4 linked regions of the Caenorhabditis elegans genome follow. The protein of the gene in region 4 purifies or fractionates together with the protein of the main gene of each other region. This does not show direct contact. Each region holds a gene or a part of one and is shown on either strand. Other genes may lie near its edges. The genes, in order: puf-3, vdac-1, eif-2gamma and eif-2beta.

Region 1 (3,959 bases), on a different chromosome or scaffold from region 4:
AAAAAATGGAGAAAATAAATTCATTTAGAAAATCGAGCCCGTAAATCGACACAACCTCTACAGTAGCCATGTAAAGAATTACTGTAGTTTTCGATACGAGATATTTTGCGCGTCAAATATGTTACATAATACGCATTCTCCGAATTTTGTGTTCTCGTAACATGTGGAGAGCACACAAAAACAGAAAATCTCCAGATTGGAAACCGAAAGAAATGTTTGGCTGTCGTCCACGTGGCACAAAAGCTTGGCTACACTGTAGTCAGCGTGGGATACGACTATGCCAACAAGGATCATGTATTGAGCAAGACGATCGTTGAAGCTTTGGAAGGAGTTCAGGTTGGCGGGAAATTTAAATATTTCAGAAAATGTTCTAAAATATAAATTCCAGTTTGCTCTGAAAAAGTTCAAGAATGCGAAGAAAATTGTGATTGGAGGACACTCAGTCGGAGCACACCTCGCATTTCAAGGTAATAATTAAACAAAATATTGCAATTAAATCTGGAAGTTTGTAAATTCTTTATTCACAGAATTTATATCAATTATTGTGCAAAACGGGGGCCGGGGTCTTCATATAATATAGAAGAGGTTGCAATACTCTTTCTACAATTTTCTAGCAATATAATAATAAAAATAATAATAGTATACACGTGAGTTGGGTGATGGTGGGGGTTAGGATTCAAATGGAAATGAATAAAAATTGCCTATGTGTATCTAGTACAAGGACATTGATTGGAGCGCTTCGATAATCTTCTTGCCCGACGAAAATCTTTCGAGGCGGTGGGCGTTTCGCATCACTCGTCCGTGAATCTTCTCGAGCCACATGCCGTACATCTCCGATTGCTTTTGATCTCGAGCATTCTGACCGAGAACACAAGTCTGGATCATCTGCTGAACAACGTAGTTTCCATATTGATGGAAGAGCAGAATGTCGAGAGCATCACGATTTGTATCCGGATGTGGAATATATCCTTCGAAGATCTCGTTCATCATCTCGGCAACGAGGCGATATGGAGCACATTCAAACGCCACTTCGACCACGTGGCTAGCGTACTTCTCCTGTGACATTGAGAGCAAATTTTGCCTGGAAATGGAAAAATACATTTGAAAATTTGACTATATAAAACATACAGAAGGCACTGCTCAATGATGATATCTCTGTAGACAGCCAACGCATCTCCACACTTGATAACGTGTTGTACCACGTAGTTCGCAAACTCGTTGGAAGCCAGCTGGGTGCAGTTACGAGTGACTCCAGCCATCAAACTGCGAAGAAGAATGACACGATGCTGGTAGCACTGAGCATATTGATCAGTCGACAAAGTTTCGACGGTCGATTGAATGACACGGCACCCATATTTGTCCTGGCAAACGTGGATGAGATTGTCGTCGTCGGCGAAGAAATCCACGAGGAAAGTCCACGAAGAGACTGGAAGCGTCTTGACAATCTTCTGAATCACGTGGTTTCCGTTTTGATCGATGCTGAGACGGACGAGGTGCGTGTCACGGAGCTCCAACGACAAACGAGTCGCAAGATGAACATCAAGCTTCTGAATAGCCAGTTGAATGACGCGGCACGCACTCTTGTCAAGGCAGAGATTGTACAAATCAGTAGCCAAGTGCTCCGTAAGAATCTCCTGCTCCTCAGTGTTCGAGCACTCCAAGACACGTTGCACAAAGAAGTTGCCAAACATGTTAGAGCAGAGCGACAAGAAGATGGCACGATCCTCGACCAGTTTACGGAAGAGTTTTTGGTGGACGTCGTTGTCGTTCTCCGTTGGATAATGCTCCTGAAGGAATCGGCATCCATTCTTATCGGTGGCAAATTCCACGAGAGCATCGTTGGCGAGCACATCCTGAAGAGTGACCGAGTCCGAGACATTTCCCTCGCCGTCGCCAGCCCAGATTGGAAGTGTGCATTTGTGGCTGCGGGTGGTCGAGCTGAAAATTTGATTATTTTTTTGAAAGTTTTAAAAATTGAGGCTCCAAGTCACTGGAAAACTCTAAACTCACTTCAAAGACTTCGAGAACGAGGCGTTGTTCTCCAAATCGATAAGTCTAACGGCCTGTTGAGGATAACGAGCCGGAGTCGTCATCGGTGTAGAAGTGCGCCATTTGGAGAATTGTCCTCCAAATCCTTGACGATTCGGAGCCCAAGCGCTCTGTGGTGTCGGTGAGGAGCTCCGAAATCCCATCGAAGAGTCCACTTTCCGATTCGGCGTCCAAATGTTGGTGGAGCTGTTGGCGTTGAAGCAACCACCGAATGTGCCACGAGCCTCCGTCGCCGTTGGCGGGCTCTCGTAGTAGCGACCGAGGTTAGAGGAACCGGTGTTTTGACTCATATTGGTACGGAGACTACCTGAAAATTTATTTTTTTGGAAGACATCGACGTTTGAATGGACGGAATAAGTGGAAAATACGATAGAATTAATGAAAATAAGAGAGCAAAATTTTGGGACGCGTCCTCGAAGACAAAAAATGAACAAAAATGAAGAAATCAGGAACCAAAATGCAAAAAATCCCGCGTTAAAATAAAAAATCCAAAATTTCCCGCGCAAAAACGAAATAAAGTACTGTAGAATTTAAAGGCGCATGTCGACGCTGCGCCGATGGGTCTCGCCACGATTGATAAATTTTGCATACCAGGAATAAAATTTATGAAAAGTTCTTGTATTCTCACTCTGTGCAAAAAAATAGCGCTTTTTTTTTGTTAAATCAAAGAAAAAAATATTTCCAGCTGTAACACGGATCCATGACCCCCGAATCAGTGGTGCCTACCTCAGCGCGGGCATCTACAAAATTCAAGAACTGACTTCCACGACTTATGGTCACGATCTTGGGTTGACTTCAGAAGAAGCAGAAACTTGTAGTTGTGATTATGAGCTTATGAAGCATGTCCGGTTCCCGGTGTTAATCGCATGTTGCAGACGGGAATCCCCAAAGTTGTACCAACAAAATCAGGATTTTTCTAGTCAAGTTGCAAATGCTCAGTACAAGGTTTGAGCTATTTTGGACCGAAAAAAAAACCCCGTTTTAGGGTCTTGGCACGATTTTTAAAATATTTTTTTAACGAGTTTCACGCCAAAACCACGTTACCTGGTCTCGACACGATAGATTTTTGCTAAATGAGAACAGATATATGCGCCTTTAAAGATTACTGTAGATTTAAAAATATATTTATTTTATTTGGAAAACTCATATATTACGATAAAAACACATTCTTAAGAAAATAGATTATTTAAAATTCCGCAAAAACCAAATTTCAAAAGTACAGTACTCTTTAAAGGCGCACACCTTTTCATATTCGTCGTGTCGAGACCATGTATGGTATTTTTGACGCAAACCCCATAAAATCTCACGTCTGGATGATAAAACACGAGGAAACAACAAAAATCTATGAAATTTCGAGAAAATTACAGTAGTCTTTTTTTAAAGGCGCACGTATTTTCGCAATCAGCAAAAATTTGTCGCGTCGAGACCATTTTTGTTTCAGGAATACGAAAATGAAGATCATTTCACAATCCTGACAGAGCTCACAAAAGAGGAGAGCATCGTGTACGCCGACTTCTTCAACTTTCTTTATTCAATTTAATTGTACATTTTTTTTTCCAAAAAATAAAAATCAGATTTCTTGTTGGGTGTGGGAAACCTACAAATCTACATGAAAACCTTAAAATATAGCAAATTGTTTAACAAGGTTTCATGACTAAAATGAAGTAAATAGATAGGAAACATGTGGGTTTAGGAGCAAAAAAAAAAAGATACAGACAAGAGTGAATATATATTGAAATTACAAGTATTTTATTATATTTTATTTATGGTAATTGTGGTCCAGTGCCAGAAACGGGAGATTTTGTAGAGAATTGTTGCATCCAAAATGACAATGGTCCAACCACATAATCAATGTCAAGCTGGAATTTTTTTAGTTGTAAAATCTATAATATTTTTGTAAAAAAAAGTAC
Region 2 (3,812 bases), on a different chromosome or scaffold from region 4:
CTAGGGGATGCGTTTGCTGCTTCAATGGTTCAGCATTTATTGCAGGTTTGATAGAAAACTCGAACTTGGAGACAATTGTATATTTTAAGAAAAAGCTGGATCAAGCAGACGCTCGTCACGATTATAAGACTGAACTGAAAGGAGAAATTGAACTATTGAAGTCAGCTGCCACCAGTAGAAGACCATCATTCACAATGTCAGAAGCTTCTAAGGAGCTCTTCTTGACACACGCGAACACAGCTGGAAACTCAAGAATTGGATCACGAATTGGCTCTCGTCGTCCTTCATCCACCAACTTGCATCTTTCCTGGCGTAATAATAACATTGAACCACCATACACACCTCTGCCCAACGATGAAAACGTGTAGTTCCATGATCAATATTTACATTTTTTGTCCATGTCACTTTTCCATTCCAAAACAGAAAACGGTTATTCTCTCCTCTTTCCGCGAGAACCCATGGATTGTTTTGTACATATCATTTTTACTATTTTAAGCCACTGATGAAACTCAATAATTTATGTTTGTAAAATTTAGCAGAAAAGTAAATAGCGCATGACATTTCTTTTTTTTCGAAGTTTAGAGAACATAAATCGACATTGAAAAATCAACGGTTGAGGACTAAAAGAATTTTAAGAACGCTATTGATGGGAGAATGGAAGTGATCGGAAGATCTAGTTGGATGGATCGAATTCGAGTCCAAGTCCGAACTTGTGAGCATCATTGGCAGCAAGGTTGAATTGAGTGGAAAGTGTCAGCTTAAGAGCTGGAGACAAGGAGTGTGTGGCAGCAACGGCAACTTGGGAAGAGCTGTTGACCTTGGCGCGGACAGTAAGGTCACGGCTTGGAGCATACTTGGTGGCGAGAGCGTAGTCAGCTCCGTTTCCACCAACCTGAAAATTCACTTTAGTTTTGGTTCTAGGATTTTAAAAAGTTTACCTTCCATCCGAGTTGAGTTCCAACCTCGACGTTGGAGGCAACCTTGTGGTAAAGGGAAGCTCCGAAGTCGGTTGAGTTAATAACGAAAGAGTGGAGGGTGTATTGTGGAGTGGAGTGTCCGAAAGCCAAAGAAGTGGCTGCCAACTTATTCGATGAAGAATCGAAGGTGGCGGCAGCTCCGATGAGCCATCCGTCACGGGAGAAGACTCCGGCAGCGTTGATAACTGGAGCAGAGGTGACTCCAACATCAGCGGTAACCTGTAAATGGCTAATTTGTTTCATTTCACAAAGATGGATTTTTGAAATCTCTATTTCTACATTCAGAAAATCGAACCCTGAAACAATCATGCTTCCAGTCAAGCTTGAGACGAGCTTCGCCAATCTTATCACCCAAAATATGTACAAGACTACTCACTCTAGCAGTTGGGAGAGCCCAGTCGAGCTTCACTTTTCCGCTTCTCTTTCCGGCGTGTGGGGCATAAAGAGAATCGAGAGTGACCTTGAGTCCACGTCCGAATTGCTCATTAACTTCGATAACAGTTCCGAGCTGGTTCTCGGTGTTCCATTTCTCGGTCAAAGTGATTCCTGAAAACGAAACAACATGATTGATATCTCTCACACAATATGTTGTATTTTTGTTGAGCGGTCGCTAGACGTCACGTGGTGTTTTAGAGTACATACAATTGCATCACCTGCGTCACGAGGTTGTCCCCATCTAGCGGGTAGACAATAAGATGTTCAGACGAGCTTACCGTATTGTGGGATCTTGTACTTGACATCGAGATTTCCTCCAAGCTTTCCGGATCCGATATTGTGAGAAGCGGCTGATTTGAACTCAACCTCCTTGTTGTCTCCAGCTCTAGTGGTGGAGTCGATCTTGAGGAATCCAAAGTCTGGAAAAAAATTAATCAGGCGAATAAATGACCTAACACTATTCCTCTCTACAAAGATAAAATTGAAACTTACTGTATCCTTTGTTGAAGAGGTCCTTGGCGGACTTTCCAAGATCAGCGAAGGTTGGTGGGGCCATTTTCTAAACACAAAATATTTTTTGAAACATGCATTCTAGAGTTACACGAGAGAAGGAAAATAGGAAATTTTCGAAAAATGAAGGCTTTGAAAATGTTTGCATTGAGCAGTGCATACGAGAAAAACGGAAAGAAAGAGATAAACCAACTCAATGGCAGCAGTAGGAAGTCGATAAACAATGCGCCAGAAAACACAACATCGCCAAAAAATATATTCAGGGTTTCAGTTAAATGATTTACAATTATCTTATCGGGAAATTCAGAAGCAAACATTTGTAACATAAAACTCCGACGGTATCGAAAACATTGAATGCGATAGAGAAAGGACAGATCACGCCACAACAGCAAATTGAGAGTTCAAAGGCAAGCACATTGGCGCGGCGACCGCCCGTCTCGAGACATAGGACGAAAATGAGAGGCACAGAGACTGGTTACTGCAGCGCGACCGCTCCGCTTCCAAAAGTACTGGATTATTTTGGCAGTTTTTCAAAATTGAATGATGCACTGAGAAGAAAAGATTTGATGCAATGAAAGAAATATTGACTAACGAAACAAAATGAAATTAGCAAGAAATCTCAAATTTAGCGTTAAACCAGGAAATGGTACCGGAAATTGAGCACAAATCCAAATAGTTTCCGCATCACCTGGTTCAGCGAATTCAGTTCACTTCTGTCACTTGCATCTAACCTATTCGAAATGTACCGCTCGGAAGTCTCTAAGCCACAACTGGAAAATCCAAACCTAGTCGATAGAATAATTGTAATTATTCTGCCGAACTATTTCTATGAATATGAATCCGTACTGAAGCACATAACAAAAGAAAACTTCGGGATTATAGAGGTAAGTTGTATATATGAAAATTAAAGAAGAAGAAACTGATTATTTAGAAAACTGTGAAGCATTTTAAAACTGAAGAAGTCATGGAGTGGAAAAGTGCTGATCTTGAATCCCAAGATATCTGGAACTTATCAGACAGGCTAATAGACGGACCATGCATGTTACTATTGTGTCAACGAGCGAATGCTTTTATTGAGATGAAAGAAGTGGCCAAATATCACAATGTGATCGCTAAGAGGTGAGCAAAGACCAACAAACATCCGAAAATACTGAAAAACAATGGAAGAAAAACATTGCGCACAGTTGAAAATAACCGTTACCGTAGTCTCGTTTCGGTACGAAACCTTCACACTTTTGGAGGTTTTTCAAAAAATCTATCCGAAGAGTTTTAAAACTTCACAAGCGTTTAATTCAGAATGAGTTCAAGTGATGGAATATATTATTCAAAAACGACAATTGCCGCCTATCACGATATAATTTTCTTTTTCCCCAAGTGTAAGATTCCATAAAGTTAGAATTTTGACTCTCCCATAAAAATATATTCAGACATTGACGAAAGAGCAATGCTGAAACATGCCAAGGATTATCTCTCAGTAGAAGTATGGCCGAAACTGAGCCAGGGACTGGCTCGCGTAGCAGTTGAGAGACCGGATAATCCAATTGTTTGTTTTCGAATACACCATTTAGTAACATGATTTTTTTGACTCTTTCAGAAATGGCTCGCAGATTATCTACACCAACTACGCCAATAAGTTTATGTTTCTAAAAAATAATATAGTGTAAATACCCATAAACCAATAAAACAATAAATTTTTTAAAAATATGCATTAAAAATTAACTACAAAACTATGCGAAAGAAAGGGCAGTAGAACATATATTACATGTAATCAGATAACACACAGGTAGTGATAAAAACGGCTTTGGTCTCAAAAATATGTTTAAAAAGCAGGAGAATTAGTACTCTTCCTCCATTGCAATTCGTACAAAAAGAGATGCAGATGGGTCCAGA
Region 3 (5,123 bases), 5.7 Mb from region 4:
TCAATTTTTCAAAACAATATTCGGCTATTTTCCAATTTTAGTTTAAAAAAAATCGCATTCTGCATTTTTTTTTGCGCTCCCTGCCGTGTTTGCGTATTTTCACCGCTACAGTACCCCGAAATGCTCAAATTTTGCTCTGATAGTTTCACAAAAGTTTAAAATGTGAAGAAATCGTTTCTTTTAACACTATAAATCTCGAATTTTCACTAAACAGTTGAGAAAATCAAATCAAAATTTCAAATTTTGACGATTTCCGTTTAAAAATTTGATTCTGGCTTCAACTCTCGCCCGATCCCAACATTTTCCCTCAAAAAAAATCCCGAAATTCTGCATGCATTTTTTCGTAGGATCCGGTGATTGCGTACTTTCGCGGCTACAGTACTTCTGGCGTGTCGAGACCGGGGTTTTTTGTCGAAATAACAGCTCAAAAATGCTAATTCAAATTTCTTCAGGCAGTCGTCGAGAACGCTGTAGCCGTCGTACGCAATGACTTTGGAATCGTGACCGTCGAGGAATCCCTACATCAACTCGTATCCCATATGACGTCATCAGGCCTCTATCGTTTCCATGACACTCCACTGGGAGCCCTCGTCGTGCCGTTTCTACCCTCTAACTTTGGACCAATGTATATTTGCAAACTGACCAGATTGCAATAGATTTTTAATATTTGATGAATTTTTTTAAATTTCTAGATTTTGCTATTTTTTGTTTGTTTTTTTTAAATCTGAATTTTTAAATTTATGTCTTGTTTTAAAATTTTATTATTTATGCAGTACCCCCATGGGTGCATCTGCCGTTCCATCAGTACCTAATTTCAAATTCATAGAATTTTTCATTGATCCTTCTTGTTCGTTCTCTATGTATGTATTGCGAAATCATTTGAACAGTCGATTTTTTGGCGGGAACCTGTGTCGCCCAACAGACAGCGGTCAATTTGTATTTATTTCGAAATCGCCGAGCGTGTCTGACCATCTGCTCGCTTTCCCGTCCTTTTTCGGCTCATTGAGCACAACATTTTCGGTGGTATTGCGCCTTTTTCTATCGATTTTTAGTCCATAAAAGCAAGCTCACAATCTCGTTCTCTGTTTCAAAAATTCACATTGCAGAACCTCCCGCCGCCATGTCGACCCAAGCCGATCAGCTGAAAGCGCTCCGAATCAAGACGGGAACCGTGCAACGTCTCGTCAAAGAAGTCGCCTATTACGAGAAGCAAGTTGTGAAGGAGGAGCAGAAGGCTGCCCAACTCGCCGCCGACGCCACCAACGAGGACGAGGAGTATGTTGCCAAGAAGTCGAAGGATATTGTTAAGGTTTTTTGAAATAATCCGATTTACGAGTATACGAAATTAAAATATTTTCAGGAAACTGCCAACATGGTCCGCGATTCTCAATCACGTCTCCAAAAAGCTGTGGCCGACCTCCGTGAATCGATTGCTTCTGGGAATTATCCGGAGGAAGCCGCAGAATTCGTCAATGCGAAGACGCTTGTGGACTCCATTTCTGCTTAATTTATGATACTCTTTTGTTATTTTGGGATTTTCGGTGATTTATGATGAATAATTATTGCATTTTACTTGAATACATGGTTTATAATGCCGTATAAATAATTTTAAGAAGCAATTTCGCTAATATTTCCATACGAAAAATATACAGATGTCCGTTAATTCAACGATTTTTGCCTGGTTCGCGCTAAAAAGCAAAACATAAAATTCGAGCTCGTAAATCGACACACGAAATCGCATCGAGACCCTTCCAACCACTCCCATGCGCCTTTAACCCATTTCTAATTTTATCCAATTTTAGCCTGTTTTCTATGCAATCTTTATGGATTTTCAATTAATTTTGAGTAATTTCGATTAATTATAATGATAATTTTTTAAAGATCAATAATCGACTCAACTGGGATCATAAAAACAAAAAATATGGCTTCTGGTAAGTGTTAGCTTTTCGGTTTCAAGAAAATTTCATAATTCTTTCTTAATTTAGAAGCTGAAAAGGACAAGTGCCAGAGCTGGCTTGCGAAACAAGATTTGGACAAAGTCGGAGTCGATAATTTGAACCCACTCACCGAGGAGGTACTGAAAATCAATAATTTTTGAGTTAAAGAGTTATTTTTCAGGTTATCTCTCGACAAGCCACGATTAATATCGGAACTATTGGCCACGTAGCCCATGGAAAATCCACTCTGGTGAAAGCGTTCTCCGGTGTGCATACTGTCAAGTTCAAAAGAGAGTTGGAAAGAAATATTACTATCAAACTTGGATACGCTAATGCAAAGATCTACAGATGTTCTAACCAAGAGTGCCCAAGGCCAGGATGTTACAGGTTATAATATCTCCCTGAAATTTAATTTAAATAAATAATTTTTGAATTCTAATTCAGATCCGCCGGTTCATCAACACCCGATCGGTTCCCATGCGAGCGCGCCGGATGCGGTGGAGAATTCACCTGTGTTCGCCACGTCTCATTCGTCGATTGCCCAGGTCACGACATTCTTATGGCCACCATGTTGAACGGAGCCGCTGTCATGGACGCCGCGTTCTTGCTCGTCGCCGGAAACGAACCATGCCCACAGCCACAAACATCTGAACATCTCGCCGCCGTCGAGATTATGCAGCTGAATCATTTGATGATTCTTCAGAACAAGGTCGATATTATCAAGGAGTCGCAAGCCCGCGAAAATTACGAGCAAATCGCCGGATTTGTGCAAGGAACGGTCGCCGAGAATGCTCCAGTCATCCCGATTTCTGCGCAGCTTAAATATAATGTTGATGTAAGGATCTGAATCTGGATTTAAATATACCACGCTCTCCTCAAGTGTTCATAATTATTAGAGCGCGCTCGCGCGGCACCACACGAACTCCAGAATTCGCGGGAATTCGTTTCGCGGGGACAGCAGTTTTTGGCTATATTCGGCTTCTATGGAAATTATTTTTAATTTTTTTGATTTATAATATTGTTGAGAAGCACCATCCGAATTGAAAATGTGTAAAATTATGAAATCTGACCGAAAACTGAAGTTTTTACAGAGAGGAGTCACCACGGCTTTCTTTAAAATGTATCAGTACCGTCAGTTTTTCGAATTCAGAGTCGTAAAATATGTCATTTTGTAAGTCTGTTTCACGAAAATCCATGTTTGAAATTTTAATTTTTTAATTTCTAATATAAAAATATTCAAAAAATCAACAATTTTACGTTAGAATCTAATTTTTTCAAATTTTCAGTTTTTCATAAGAACAATTTTAAAATTTCAAACATGGATTTTTGTGAAACAGACTTTTCTCTACAAAATAACATATTCTACGACTCTGAAATCGAAAAACTGACTGTACTGATACATTTTAAAGAAAGCCGTGGTGACTCCTCTCTGTAAAACCTTCAGTTTTCGGTCAGATTTCATAATTTTACACATTTTCAATTCGGATGGTGCTTCTCAACAATATTATTAAACAAAAAATTAAAAATAATTTCCATAGAAGCCAAAAACAGCCGCCTAAAACTGCTGTCCCCGCGAATTCTGGAGTTCGTGAGGGGCCGCGCGAGCGCGCTCTAATAATTATGAACGCTTGAGGAGAGCGTGTATACTAGATTAATTGCGATTTTTCAGCTCGTTTGCGAGTATCTTTGCAAGAAAATCCCCGTGCCAGTCCGTGACTTCAAGTCGCCGGCTCGTCTCATCATTATCCGATCATTCGATGTTAACAAGCCAGGATCTGAAGTTGAAAACTTGAAGGGAGGAGTCGCCGGAGGAACATTGACCAAGGGAATTCTGCGCGTCGGACAAGAAATCGAAGTTCGCCCGGGAATCGTCTCAAAAACCGCGACCGGTCAACTCCAATGCCGTCCGATCTTCTCCCGTATCGACTCTCTGTTTGCCGAAAAGAACCAGCTGGAATACGCCGTTCCCGGCGGTCTCATCGGTGTTGGAACGAAGATCGACCCGACACTCTGCCGTGGAGATCGACTCGTCGGTCACATCCTCGGAGCCGTTGGCACTCTTCCAGATATCTTCATCGAAATTGAAATCTCCTTCTATCTTCTGAGAAGATTGCTCGGAGTTCGTACTGAAGGAAAGAAGAAGGGAGCCAAGGTGCAGAAGCTTGTCAAGGAAGAGACTTTGCTGGTGAACATTGGATCGTTGTCAACGGGAGGAAGAGTTACTGCTGTGAAGGGAGACGCCGCGAAGATCAGATTAAACGATCCTATTTGCACAGAGGTAATTCCCACTTTTTATAAAATAATAAATTTAATTTGTATTTAAATTCAGGTTGGAGAGAAGATTGCCATGTCACGTCGTTTCGAGAAGAGTTGGCGCCTGATTGGCTGGGGAACCATTCGCAAAGGTCAAACCGTTGAGCCGTACAAGAACTAGCGGCTATCATCGATTTGTTGTCTACACCGGTTTTGACATATTATTAATCTTTTCCAATTGTTTCTCTCCGTTTTTGTCTCTCTATTAGTCCAAAAAATTTTGTCGGATCCCTGTTTTGGTTCTTTTTTCTGTCCTCCTCCTGTTTCCTACTATTCCACTTCCAGTTTCATTGATTATTTTTCTTTTTGTTGAAAGTGTGCTTGGTGTTTTTTCGATAAATTATTGGATTTGAGTAAAATCTGGAAATACATTTTATAATTGCAGCAAAGATTCAGGTTTTGAAAAACAAAACGAAAAGTGCAGGCTACAGTAACCCACCTTAAAGGGAGGTTTCATTCCTTGCGCAGATGGTCTCGCCGCGATGAGACTTTTGTAGAATGTTTACGGTGTTGTAGGCCGCTAGAAAATTTTCGAATTTCATCTGAATTTCTCTTTATTTTCTCCAATTTTCTCAAATTTTTGTTCGAAAATCTGAATAAAATGTATAAAACTTTTATTTTAACGCCTCGATCGGATAAAACATACACTCTAAATGATAAATTTCAGCGATGCCGGCCCCGAAATTCATCGAAGGTCCGAACACTGTTCAAACGTCACTTTACGGCTATGACAGGAGCAAGAAAGTGCAGGTAATACTCTGAATTGTGCGATTTTTTCCACCCACTAAAACATAACCTAGTTCCAGCTGAACAATTTACGCGGGAAACCAATTATGGTGCTCCGTTCTGATACGGTCATTCCAAAAAACGAAG
Region 4 (3,423 bases):
GATAACCTCAGAATTCTACAATTTGCAGTCATTCTTCTTGCGAGAATTTCGATTTTTTCAGTATTTTTCGCAGACTCGATTTGTTTCCAGACTTCTCTACAATCATCTGTTCTTAAAATCCAGCCGTGCCTGTAATAGTAAAAAAAGTGAACAAAAGCTGAATAAAATAAAACCTACTCTATCATTATCTCCACTGCAATTTCCACAGTGACAGATGATTGTTGTTTGATTATATAGTTACACATTTCTTCCAACACCGCTTGATTTTCCAATCGATTCATCATTTGTCGAACTACCGTTTCAGATATTTCTAGAGAAACCGTCAAGTCCCATGAAATAATTTCTTGTAAGCATCTAACGAAGACATCTTCACATTTTTCAGCGCTGAATTCTTCATCGAAATTCTGAAGAGCGAGAAGAACTTCTCCAATATTTTTGGAATCCAAAGCCTGTGAAAGTTTTGACAATGCACTCATAAGGTTAGTCATATGGTGCTGAAATATTGGGGATCCTTTGACTAAACTTGAACATGGAAAATACCTAAAAAGGTGAGAACAAATCATTCAATAAATTTGAAACACTTACTATGCCGAATTTATTCTCAAAACACGAATCGAATGAGAAAGGAAATGAAACTGGATAAAAATAAATACGGGGAAAACAAGGAAAAGAGAAAGCAAAACAAGAATTTCGGAAAAATGGAAAGAAGTACCAACCCATAAAAAGCCGGATAACAACCGAGTAAAGTTTAGAAAATATTACTTTCCAGCTGTAGCTTCTTCGGCTCGGCGAATTGCGGCACGCTTTCCTACGACAGCCTTGAATCCACTCTTGATTGCTGTAACAGAGCATCTGGAACCACAGTTAGTACATTGGAGGAAGAAGAGACGAGTATCCTTGGTGAGCTGTGTTTCTGGCGACTTGCAAGTATGGCACATTACGTACTCCTCTGAAATACAGAAAATATACAATTTTTGGGAAATTTCTATTTTTTACTGATATATTTCCGGAGGACACTTTCAAATTGTTTCTGTTGCCATCTTCCTTTCACAATCAAACAGTTACTTCCGTCGATGGATCCAGTCGTTCCCAATTCCGCGAGCAAAAATTGGAGCACGTGTTTGTCTTGTCTTTTCATAAGCCGGCAAATTTCGAGGAAGTTGGAGAAAGCAGTCTTCTTTGATCCAGCTCTTGCAACTTCTGGGAGCTTGATGGCGAACTTCTTCTTGTCTCCAGCAAAGTCTGGATTTTTGTCTTTCATAACCTGATAGACAAGAGTGAGAGCTTCTTCGTATGTGTAATCTGGCCATGCCCCTTTTGCATCGATCAAGTTTTGAGCTCCAATTCCGATTTCTGAATTCATAATTATTTATTTTGAAAGAGTATTGTGCAAAATTATAGTTTTATAACTTTGTAATAAAATATATTACCGAGAGTTGGAACTTTCTCTTCAACTACTTCTTCGCCGGCTGTCTTTGGAGTTTTCTTCTTCTTTTTAGCTCCAAGGTTTAGCTCGCCTGTAATTTTGATTAATTAACAATCAGATACACATCTTCATCAGCTCACCCAAGCCATCTTCTACAGCTTCTACGCCGGTCTCAACAGGAGCATCATCGCCATCGATTTTGATCACCTTCTTAGACTTCTTCTTTTTTCCGAGATCGAGACCCTGGAGAAATATAAATTCAATTTGAAGACGAGATAAATTAACTTTACCAAATCGTCAGCCATAGTTTGTTTGTTTTGCTTGAAGTACAAAACCTGGAATTGAAAAATCATTTAAATGAAGATGCGAAACGATTTTCATGAAGAAAGGTAGGCATTTTGAATCTCGTAATATACATACAATTTAAAAATACATTTTATTCACTAAGTTTTGAAGATTATTTGCCGTTTCAGTTATTTTAAAAGACAAAATGGGTTGCGAAATGCAAAAAATGAGAGAAAACTTTCAAGGCGCATGAAGAATGGCTGTGGTGAGGTCTCGCCACGATTTCTCTTTGAGGCTGGGGGAGATTTACGAGGAGTGAACACTTTTTTTTTTTTGTTCTCTAAATGAGAATTTATTTATTTTGTTCAATAAGATTAGAATATGCGAGTTTATTGACATATTTTATATATCTTTAGTTGATTTTCTATCGTTTTTCTATGATTGATAGTATTTTCTACTCTAACATCGAGTTCTGACGCACCTTTGAAAATTACTGACTTGGCAAGCAAAAATATATCTTCGCTGAATCCTTTTGAGCTGTTAAGTTTAACAAAAATATTAAAATCTATTTTAATGTATTGTTTTGAACTGATTAGTACATAATTGATACTCTCGTCTCTGTATTCCACTTGCCGTTACAATGTTCGTTGTTTTTCACTAGCCAGGACCGGTCTCACGGAAAATCATTGTGAAAAAAAGAAGCAATCTGCTATTAAATAATTCCCATGCGAATCCATATATGATCTTAGTACTGCCATTTACTTCTCATAGTCAGAAAAAATACATTTCTCTAACAATCTTCATATCAAAAAACAACCAAATCCGTCGGCATCGCATCACAAATCCGACTAGTTTGTGACGTGGGCCAATTCGTGCCTACCTCGTTGCTCTCAGCTTTTTCAGTTCTGATAGGAGGAGTGGGAGGATAACTAAATTGACAACAATCAGCTTCGTTATGGCATCCTTTCAATGGAAAGAATTGGTTCACCGATTGACAATGAGTATCTAAGCGCAGCTTTTGTGTGGAAAACGGAAGAAAAGGACGAAGAAGTTGATGTTGCAGGACGTTGGAGCAGAAGAAAGGCGGAGCTCTTAGTGTTGCGAGATTGGCAGCCGGAGACTCGTTGGCTCAGCCAGGCATATCGCCGACGAATTGCTGCTCTCGGGTCGCCGGTGTCGTCTCTGCTCTCTGCTTCATCTTGGCTCTTCTGACCCTCTCTCGTTCTACACGGCCGCGCATAACAGCAAATTCTCTTCGTTACTACGCTCATAGATTTGTATATTTCAAAACTGTAAAATTTCATATATTTATTCGAATTTAGAATACTTCTAATTCGTTAAGTGTGTCTGACTCTGAGGTTTTCTGAGGTCGTATTGAATATTAAATGCGGTATTTATTCCAGTTCCGTGAATTTAATAATAGGAATTTGCAGTTTTCAATCTATTTTACTTCTTCCTCCAGTTTTCTCAATCCAAATTTGTTAATTTTGATTTAAAAACATTTAACATCGTAAACCATATTTACCGTTGATTCAGTTTGTTGTTTATTTTCTTTCTTTTTTTTTGAAAAAAAAAGCGTATGCTTGTATTGTTTCTGAAGACGGTGAAACCAACGTTTGTAAAACAAAACAAAGTGACAACGCCGCTTCTTCACTATCATGGTGGTTTTTGCAGTATCATTAAAAGCGGAAACGGTTCAATCTTCTTATCAC

Evidence for each region.
Region 1: the proteins of eif-2beta (region 4) and puf-3 fractionate together in Caenorhabditis elegans (co-fractionation; one large-scale study listed by BioGRID). This does not show direct contact.
Region 2: the proteins of eif-2beta (region 4) and vdac-1 fractionate together in Caenorhabditis elegans (co-fractionation; one large-scale study listed by BioGRID). This does not show direct contact.
Region 3: the proteins of eif-2beta (region 4) and eif-2gamma fractionate together in Caenorhabditis elegans (co-fractionation; one large-scale study listed by BioGRID). This does not show direct contact.

Annotation. Positions count from the first base shown.
Region 1 is NC_003282.8:13,509,807-13,513,765, forward strand, and holds puf-3 (PUM-HD domain-containing protein), read right to left. Parts: upstream 2,357-3,959; 5' UTR 2,340-2,356; coding exon 2,011-2,339; intron 1,939-2,010; coding exon 1,129-1,938; intron 1,082-1,128; coding exon 712-1,081; 3' UTR 501-711; downstream 1-500. Other genes in the region: afmd-2 (Alpha/beta hydrolase fold-3 domain-containing protein), read left to right, coding at 196-336, 389-467, 2,735-2,994, 3,491-3,589; m7GpppN-mRNA hydrolase dcap-2, read right to left, coding at 3,813-3,908.
Region 2 is NC_003282.8:7,505,921-7,509,732, forward strand, and holds vdac-1 (putative voltage-dependent anion-selective channel), read right to left. Parts: upstream 1,972-3,812; 5' UTR 1,969-1,971; coding exon 1,905-1,968; intron 1,832-1,904; coding exon 1,691-1,831; intron 1,524-1,690; coding exon 1,354-1,523; intron 1,197-1,353; coding exon 939-1,196; intron 893-938; coding exon 674-892; 3' UTR 501-673; downstream 1-500. Other genes in the region: Putative sodium-dependent excitatory amino acid transporter glt-6, read left to right, coding at 1-45, 90-368; R05G6.5 (Uroporphyrinogen-III synthase), read left to right, coding at 2,663-2,806, 2,854-3,041, 3,219-3,298, 3,350-3,465, 3,517-3,555; plc-4 (Phosphoinositide phospholipase C), read right to left, coding at 3,758-3,812. UniProt on the Caenorhabditis elegans protein: Forms a channel through the cell membrane that allows diffusion of small hydrophilic molecules. Plays a role in maintaining mitochondrial morphology.
Region 3 is NC_003279.8:2,311,390-2,316,512, forward strand, and holds eif-2gamma (protein-synthesizing GTPase), read left to right. Parts: upstream 1-1,881; 5' UTR 1,882-1,921; coding exon 1,922-1,931; intron 1,932-1,985; coding exon 1,986-2,074; intron 2,075-2,118; coding exon 2,119-2,324; intron 2,325-2,381; coding exon 2,382-2,772; intron 2,773-3,606; coding exon 3,607-4,215; intron 4,216-4,266; coding exon 4,267-4,371; 3' UTR 4,372-4,603; downstream 4,604-5,123. Other genes in the region: 5-cytosine rRNA methyltransferase nsun-4, read left to right, coding at 453-656; tbca-1 (Tubulin-specific chaperone A), read left to right, coding at 1,121-1,309, 1,361-1,507; ekl-7 (PEHE domain-containing protein), read left to right, coding at 4,920-5,000, 5,051-5,123.
Region 4 is NC_003279.8:8,026,032-8,029,454, forward strand, and holds eif-2beta (Eukaryotic translation initiation factor 2 subunit 2), read right to left. Parts: upstream 1,762-3,423; 5' UTR 1,732-1,761; coding exon 1,717-1,731; intron 1,670-1,716; coding exon 1,567-1,669; intron 1,518-1,566; coding exon 1,431-1,517; intron 1,354-1,430; coding exon 997-1,353; intron 950-996; coding exon 759-949; 3' UTR 584-758; downstream 1-583. Other genes in the region: C54G4.9 (RAP domain-containing protein), read right to left, coding at 1-129, 178-488. UniProt on the Caenorhabditis elegans protein: Component of the eIF2 complex that functions in the early steps of protein synthesis by forming a ternary complex with GTP and initiator tRNA.